Linked DNA regions of Callithrix jacchus. The protein of the gene in region 1 purifies or fractionates together with the protein of each later gene. This does not show direct contact. Links are inferred from orthologs where the notes say so. Each region holds a gene or a part of one and is shown on either strand. Other genes may lie near its edges.

The links.
Region 2: the proteins of AMHR2 (region 1) and CDC37 purify together in Homo sapiens (co-immunoprecipitation; 3 studies listed by BioGRID and IntAct, with this or other methods). This does not show direct contact. The link is inferred for Callithrix jacchus from reciprocal best matches to the Homo sapiens genes AMHR2 and CDC37.

Annotation. Positions count from the first base shown.
Region 1 is NC_133510.1:66,126,127-66,130,513, forward strand, and holds the start of AMHR2 (anti-Muellerian hormone type-2 receptor), read right to left. Parts: upstream 2,896-4,387; coding exon 2,847-2,895; intron 2,543-2,846; coding exon 2,360-2,542; intron 2,119-2,359; coding exon 1,927-2,118; intron 1,663-1,926; coding exon 1,585-1,662; intron 1,377-1,584; coding exon 1,258-1,376; intron 1,143-1,257; coding exon 927-1,142; intron 544-926; exon of another isoform or gene 437-543; intron 1-436. UniProt on the Homo sapiens protein: On ligand binding, forms a receptor complex consisting of two type II and two type I transmembrane serine/threonine kinases.
Region 2 is NC_133523.1:9,585,083-9,588,886, reverse strand, and holds part of CDC37 (hsp90 co-chaperone Cdc37), read left to right. Parts: intron 1-1,463; coding exon 1,464-1,739; intron 1,740-2,113; coding exon 2,114-2,222; intron 2,223-2,314; coding exon 2,315-2,430; intron 2,431-2,510; coding exon 2,511-2,633; intron 2,634-3,804. UniProt on the Homo sapiens protein: Co-chaperone that binds to numerous kinases and promotes their interaction with the Hsp90 complex, resulting in stabilization and promotion of their activity. Inhibits HSP90AA1 ATPase activity.

The DNA.
Region 1 (4,387 bases):
AGGCTGGTCTCGAGCTCCTGCCCACAAGTGATTCCCCCACCTCACCCTCCCAAAGTGCTGGGATTACAGGCATGTGCCACCACACCCAGCCTATTATTATTATTATTTTATTTTGAGATGGAGTATTGCTCTTTCACCAAGCTGGGGTGCAGTAGCATAATTGCAGCTCACTGCAAGCTCCGCCTCCCGGATTCAAGTGATTCCCCTGCCTCGTCCTCCTGAGGAGCTGGGACTACAGTGTGCACCACCACGCCCAGCTAATTTTTTTTTTATGTTAGTAGAGATGGGGTTTCACCATAGCCAGGACGGTCTTGATTTCCTGACTTCATGATCCGCCCACCTCAGCCTCCCAAAGTGCTGGGATTACCAGTGTGAGCCACACCCGGCCCCTATTATTATTTTTTGAGATGGTCTTGCTCTGTTTTTTTTTTTTAATTTATATATGGAACGCTTCACTAATTTTCGTGTCATCCTTGCGCAGGGGCCATGCTAATCTTCTCTGTATCGTTCCAATTTTAGTATATGTGCTGCTGAAGCGAGCACGATCCTGCTCTTCCATGCCGGAGTGCAGTGGCATGCTTGTGGCTCATGCAGTCTCAACCTCCCAGGCTCAAGCAATCCTCCCACCTCAGCCTCCTGAGTAGCTGGGACTACAGGTGTGCAACGCCATGCTGAGCTAATTTTTGTAGTTTTGAAGTTATGGGGTTTTCTCATGTTGCCCAGGCTGGTCTTGAGCTCCCGGGTTTAACTGATCCACCCACCTTGACCTCCCAAAGGCCTAGGATTACAGGTGTGGGCTATCTTGTGTGGCCATTTTTAATGTTTTAGAAAAGAGAAAATCTAAAGCAGAAGCGTGAACAGGGCCCAGCTGCTGTGTAGCCCCCATCTCCATACATACACACATATACGTTCCTTGATGCTCTCACCTTGGGATGCAGTTCCAGTATTAGCAGGGGCCCAGAGCCCCCGCGGCTGGCGGTGATAAATCGGACAACGTGGTCGTGCTGTAGGCCTGGCAGTTCGTACAGTGCTCTCTCAGCTCGGAACTGAGCCACAGACCTCGGTGGGAAGGCCTTGATGGCAACCAGTTTGCCTTGCAGCTGCCCAGCCCAAACCACTGCATGACCTCCTTCCCGGATTACCTGGTAGGGACACTGTGCTGAGTGTTGGCCTCTCAGCTATACCAGGGCAAGGCTTCCTCCCCAGCACAACCTCCAGGAGTGCCCAGAGGAGCCCTTCTTTCCCTCCCTGGGGCACCTGGGAGAAGCACAGCTCGGGCAGCTCCTGCAGCTCCGCACTCCAGTCCCTGGCTGAGTCTGGCCCTGGCTCTGGCTCTGGCTCACCTTGAACTCCGTAAGTCTTTCGCTGTAGCAGGGCTGGAACAGAGAAGAGCCTTAGGGTTAGGGTGCGCATGCATGGGGACAGGAAAGGGGACTTTGTGGAAAGGCAGCTTTGTGAGAGGTAATGGGAGTCTGGGAATCAGGCTACAGAGATCCCAAGACCATGGGGTCAGGGGTGCCTGGAGAGGGGTCAGAGCTTTGGGGCAATCTGGGGTCACAAGGGAGGGATGGGGTGGATTAGTACCCAAGATGATGATGCCCACCAGCAGCAGGAGGAGGAGGAACAGCCCCAGCAGCACCAGTGCCATCCAGATGGACTCACCTGGACATCAAGGCAAGAATGCAGGCTGGTGAACCCTGACCCAAACCTGCTCTCTGCTCTTCCCCTCCTGAGAGTTTGCTTCTCAACCCACCCCCACCCTGGTCACAAGACCCCTTATCTCCCAGTCACCAGGGTAACCAACTTCCCAAGGCCAGGAGGAGGAAAGTATGGGGTGGGAGTAGGGTGAGAACTAGCACTGGTTCCACCTCTCATCCTAACCTGGGCCCCAGCCCCTACCAGGTTCCAGTACCCTTGGGTGGCTACCTGGGGTGACCTGGGGACCCTGGGAGTCAGGAGTCCCAGGGCTCCCTGGAGGAGGCAGATGACTGTAATTGGCATTGCAGAAGTCAGTGCCACAGGAGCAGGTGAAGAGAGTGGAGCCAGGGCTGGGGTGGGCTCGGGGACTTGGGTCACAGTGGAGGGACTCACAGCCTGGCTCATCACTGTCTCGGCATCCTGATGGGGTGGGATTAGGGGAAGAGGAGAGAAAGAAGGAGCAAGGAAGAAAGCACAAAGTGGTGTGGAAACAGAGGATAAATCCCTTCTCTTTCAGAGGCATCCCTTCCATCTCTCATGGGCTTTTCTTTCCCACCATGAAATATTCTATTTCTCCCCTTCCCCCTTGGCTGCCACCCACACCCCAGGATGTGTCTGTCTCCCACCCTAGCTATTGCCTGCCATATACTTTGCCATTCACCTTGCATTTCCACCTGTGCCCGGTCTTGGGTCAGGTTCCAGATCCCAAAGCAGCAGCGGCTGTGGAGGCAGCGGATAGCTCTGGGGAGCTCTGGGTCTGCATCTAGCAACTCTCCCAATGTCTTTGTGCTTCCCCGCACTCCGGGGGACTCAAAGAACACACAGGTTCGCCTGTTTGGGGGTGCTGAGGCCCAGGATGGGGAAAGGAAAGGATTCAAGATGGGAGTGAATGCAGAGGCCGAAAAGTGGCCAAAAGAACAGACAAAACATGTTTCACATCCCAGCGTCAGTATGGTAAAGCCACAGGAGGAACCAGGGTCAGCAGAGGCCTGGAACCTGAGCCCTGCCATGGGGACACATGGCTCTATCCTTCATCTTCACTCACCCAGCCCACTCACCACTCTTCCAAAGGGGTGGCTGTTGCTTCAAGCACCCCTTTCCCTCGCTGGATGGATGGAAAGACCCTGCCCCTCCCTGTCGACGCTTACCTTCCACAGCTGAGGGAAGTAATGCCCAAAGCCCCAGAGACCCAAGCATCTTGCTGGAGGATGGCAGCAGCAGGAGAAGGAGAGCATGAGCCAGCACAGCTGCCCCTGGCCAAAGCTTTCTTCAGATACAGGGCATCGTGGGACTTCTGATCCCTCAGTCCCCAACTCCGCCCCCCTCATCCTTTCCCAGCCTCTGTGGGGGAGAAGGCTGCTGTGGGGGAGAGGGTGGGTGTGGGGAAAGCAGGGAAAGAAAGGGAGGAGCAGAGAACCAATCTTATATCCTCTTCTCTTCTGCAGCCTCCTCTTTGCTCTGCAAAGTGGGAGGAGGGGACCTTGGAGGCCCAGCTGAGAACCCAGTGATGCCTAATTTCAAATCTCTGCCCTTTGCTGACCTTGGAAGAAGATGCAGACTCTGTTGACTCTTTTCAGTAGGAAGCCAAAGTGAGGTCAAATGCTTAGAGTCATTCAGCTCTGCCCAAGATCCTTTCTAGCCTAAGATCCCTTTATATTCAGGGTTCACATCTGTAGCTGCTTGGGCAGAGGAATGCCTCACAGCCCATACTAGAGGTTACCTTGTTTTCCAAACTTAAGAATCAGAAAGTATACCAGAATTTTTTTTTTTTTTTAAGACAGATTCTCGCTGTATCACCCAGGCTGGAGTGCAGTGGCACAATCTCAGCTCACTGCAACCTCTGCCTCCTGGGCTCAAGCGATTCTCCTGCATCAGCCTCCTAAGTAGCTGGGACTACAGGCACCCATCGCCATGTCTAGCCAGACGTAGTGATGGGTGCCCGTAGTCCCAGCTACTTGGGAGGCTGATGCAGGAGAATTTTTGTATTTTTTAGTAGAGACGAAGTTTCACTATGTCAGCCAGGCTGGTCTTGAACTCCTGACCTTGTGATCTGATGCCTCGGCCTCCCAAAGTGCTGGCATTACAGGCATGAGCCATCACGCCCAGGCCAATTTATCAGAATTTCTTAAAAACACATTGAGTCTGGGTGCGGTGGCTCAAGCCTGTAATCCCAGCACTTTGGGAGGCCGAGGCGGGTGGATCATGAGGTCAACAGATCGAGACCATCCTGGTCAACATGGTAAAACCCCGTCTCTACTAAAAAAATACAAAAAATTAGCTGGGCATGGTGGCATGTGCCTGTAATCCCAGCTACTCATGAGGCTGAGGCAGGAGAATTGCCTGAACCCAGGAGGCGGAGTTTTCGGTGAGCCGAAATCGTGCCATTGCACTCTAGCCTGGGTAACAAGAGTGAAACTCTGTCTCAAAAAAAAAATTGAGCTGAGCTAAGTTGCCCAAGGTCATTCAGCTAGGAAAGAGCTGGGATTTGAACCTAGGCAAGTCTGACTCCAAAGTCCAGGCTCTCTTCTTTGCATTCCACCATACTGCCTGAAACACATACAAAATTCAACAATGAAAAAAAAAATTACTGGGCCGGGTGCAGTGGCTCACGCCTGTAATCCCAGCAGTTTGGGAGGCTGAGGCCGGTGGGTCGTCTGAGGTCAGGAGTTCAAAACCAGCCTGGCCAACA
Region 2 (3,804 bases), on another chromosome or scaffold:
CAGGCAGAAGCAGCTTGATGGGGGTTGGGGGTGGGGGGAGGAGTAGGGAAGGGGACCAAGTGTGGGCGAGGGTGGCTCCAGGTCAGAGGGGAAGGCTGGCAGCTGGAGACAGTGTTTAGGCCTCCACTGGGCATCTCATTACTTATTCACTCAACAAGCATTTCCTGGCCAGGCACAGTGGCTCACGCCTATAATTTCAGCACTTTGGGAGGCTGAGGCAGGTGGATGGCTTGAGCACAGGAGTTTGAGACCAGCCTGGGCCACATGGCAAAACGCCATCTCTACAAAAAAAAAAAAAATTAGCCAGGCAGGATGGTGTGCACCTGTAGTCCCACCTGCTTGGGAGGTTGAGGTAGGAGGATTGCTTGAGCCTAGGAGCTCGAGGCTGCAGTGAGCCATGGTCGCATCCTGCACTCTAGTCTGCATGACGAGGAGACGTTGTTCAGACAAAACCGAACAAACAGAAACAAAAAAAACAAGCATCTGTTGAGTCCCTGCTTTGCACCAGGCCAAGTTCCTGGCTCTGGGGACAAAGTGGTGAACACATTCCCACATGTACAGAGCAGGGCTTGGAGGGAGGCAGTATGCAGAACATGATAAACAATTATCATATGATGTCAGTGGTGGCTGGTGCTGAGGAGGCAGGGAATGCCAGGCAGGGGTGGGGGGAGGTTGCCATCATCAGGAAGGTGGTTGGGGAAGGGGTCCTCGCTAAGGCAACATGGAGCTCAGATGGCTCGGGTGCCGTGGAGTCAGCTGTGGCGGGATCTGAGGGAAAAGCACTCCAGGTAGTAGGAACAGCCAGTGGGAAGGCCTTAAGGTTAGAGAAAGAAGTCGGCTCCGCAGAATGCAGTGGCTCCTGCCTGTAGTCCCAGCACTTTGGGAGGCCAAGTTAGAAGGATTGCTTGAATCCAGGACTTCAAGACCAGGCCGGGCAACATGGTGAAACCCCGTCTTTACTGAAAATATGAAAATTAGCTGTGCATGGTGGTGCATGCCTGTAGTCCCAGCTACTCAGGAGGCTGAGGTGGGAGGATCGCCTGAGCCCAGGGAGGTCAAGGCTGCAGTGAGTCATCTTCCGGCCACTGCACTCCAACCTGGACAACAGAGCGAGACCCTATCTTTAATAAAAGGGCTCAAGAAAAGATGAGAAAAGTGAGGGACCAGTGTGGATGGAAGGAGGAGTGACAGGGCAGATTGTGCAGGCCCACATAGGCTGTAGTGACGACTTGGGCTCTGTTCTGAGTGAAATGGGAGCCGCCAGGGTTCTCAGCAGAGGATGGAGGAACCTGACCCTCTTGGGTGTGCACTGGCACCTGTTGGGGCAAGGAAGTTGGGAGCCCAGGGCACTGGAGGTGGACGCAGATTTTTTCCCGGGGCTATCTCAGGAGCAGGGGTTGAGTATGGGGCCGGGGGTAAGGGACAGGCCGCCCACCAGAGTGACAGGCCGTTCCTGCCGGCAGGCCCGGGTGGAGCGCATGGAGCAGTTCCAGAAGGAGAAGGAGGAACTGGACAGGGGCTGCCGCGAGTGCAAGCGCAAGGTGGCCGAGTGTCAGAGGAAGTTGAAGGAGCTGGAGGTGGCCGAGGGCGGCAAGGCAGAGCTGGAGCGGCTGCAGGCTGAAGCGCAGCAGCTGCGCAAGGAGGAGCGAAGTTGGGAGCAGAAACTGGAGGAGATGCGCAAGAAGGAGAAGAGCATGCCCTGGAACGTGGACACGCTCAGCAAAGATGGCTTCAGCAAGGTGTGCAGGGCGGGCGGGCAGTGCGCATGCGCAGCCAGTGAGTGTGCAGCCAGGACGCATGCGCACCCAATGCCAAGTCAGGGGAGGACCCCGGTGGTGAAATTGAAGAGTGTGGTGTGGGGGTTGGGGGATGGACGGGGGCCATGTAGGGAGGGGGGACAGGCTTGGGGAGCCGGGCGGATGAAACACCCCACCGGTCCCCTCCTCTGATCTGCCCCAAGGCCCATGCCCACGCTCCCGCCACCTTGATGCTCATGGCTTCGTCACCACCTCCGCCGTGGATGGGATGGGCGCTGCGGCCACGGCCCGTCCGGCCGCGCTCGAGGCGCTCCGCAGCCTTGCCCCAGCCCACTCCCCTTCTCACCCTACCACAGAGCATGGTCAATACCAAGCCTGAGAAAGCAGAGGAGGACTCAGAGGAGGTGAGGGAGCAGAAACACAAGACCTTCGTGGAAAAGTATGAGAAACAGATCAAGCACTTTGGTGAGTGGGGCGTGTGGGTTATGGGGGAGCCAGGTCAGGGCAGGCCCTTTGTCTCCAGGGCCCTCCAGCACCTTGCCAGCATCTTCCCACAGGCATGCTCCGCCGCTGGGATGACAGTCAAAAGTACCTGTCGGACAATGTCCACCTGGTGTGCGAGGAGACGGCCAATTACCTGGTCATCTGGTGCATTGACCTAGAGGTGGAGGAGGTGAGTGGAGCTTTCCCAGGGCTGTGAAAAGGCGCTGCCACACGCCGTCACTTGGTGACACTGCCTGTTGTCCCTGGTAGAAATGTGCACTCATGGAGCAGGTGGCCCACCAGACAATCGTCATGCAGTTTATACTGGAGCTGGCCAAGAGCCTGAAGGTGGACCCCCGGGCCTGCTTCCGGCAGTTCTTCACTAAGATTAAGGTAGGGGCTGTGAGCTGCCAGGTGGCCAGAGGCCCCCTCCTCAGGGGACCAGCCTACAGTGCTCTGGGCAAGGCCAACTCCTGTCCACAGGGACTCAAACCCCTCCAATTGCAGCATCCTAGTTAGGAGACGGCGGGGGCAGGGAGGGTAGAGAGGTGGGCTGATCCTGCCAGACTTTAAAAGTGGACATCAGGCCAGGCTTGGTGACTGAGTACTGTAGTCTCAGCTATTTGGGAGCCTGAGACAGAGGACCACTTGAGCTCAGGAGCTTGTCAGCTATGGTGTGCCACTGCATTCCAGCCTGGGTGACAGAGTAAAACCACATTAAAAAAAAAAGTGGACACTGGGCACAGTGGCTTATGCCTGTCATCCCAGTACTTTGGGAGGCCAAAGCGAGCAGATCACCTGAGCCTGGGAGGTCGCGACCAGCCTGACCAACATGGAGAAACCACGTCTCTACTAAAAATACAAAATTAGCTGGGCATGGTGGTGCATGTCTATAATCCCAGGTACTCAGGAGGCTGAGGCAGGAGAATTGCTTGAACCTGGGAGGCAGAGGTTGCAGTGAGCTGAGATTGCGCCATTGCACTCCAGCCTGGACAACAAGAGCAAAGCTCCGTCTCAAAAAAATAAAAAGTGGGGGCAGTAGGATGTGCTGAAGGTCCCCATGTGGATTTGGGGGTAATATGGGTGTCTCTAGGGTTTTGAGGGTTTTTTTTTGAGACAGAATCTTGCTCTGTCACCCAGGCTGGAATGCAGTTACTCGATCTGAGCTCAGTGCAACCTCTGCCTCCCCGGTTCAAGTGATTCTCATGCCTCCACCTTCCAAGTAGCTGGGATTACAGGCACCTGCCAGCCTCTAGAGTTTTAACCTGTGCATCTGCAGGAACAGGGCTACTCTTACCAAGATTGGGGAGACCAAGGACAAGGCAGGCTGGAGGGACACTCAGAGGCTGGGAGGTGGCTATGTTAAGTTAGAGGCGCCTATGCAGGGACACTGAGGACGTGAGTGTCACACATCTGCGGTACAGCAGGGCTCCCAAGCAGGTGGTCTTTAGCAAATGCCAGATGAGGTCCCTGGCTGGGGGAGCCCAAGACTTAGGGACCCCCTCATGTAGGTCAGGAACAGACTTGGGATGCCTCTGAAGCGCCTCTGAGGAGCTGCGGCTGG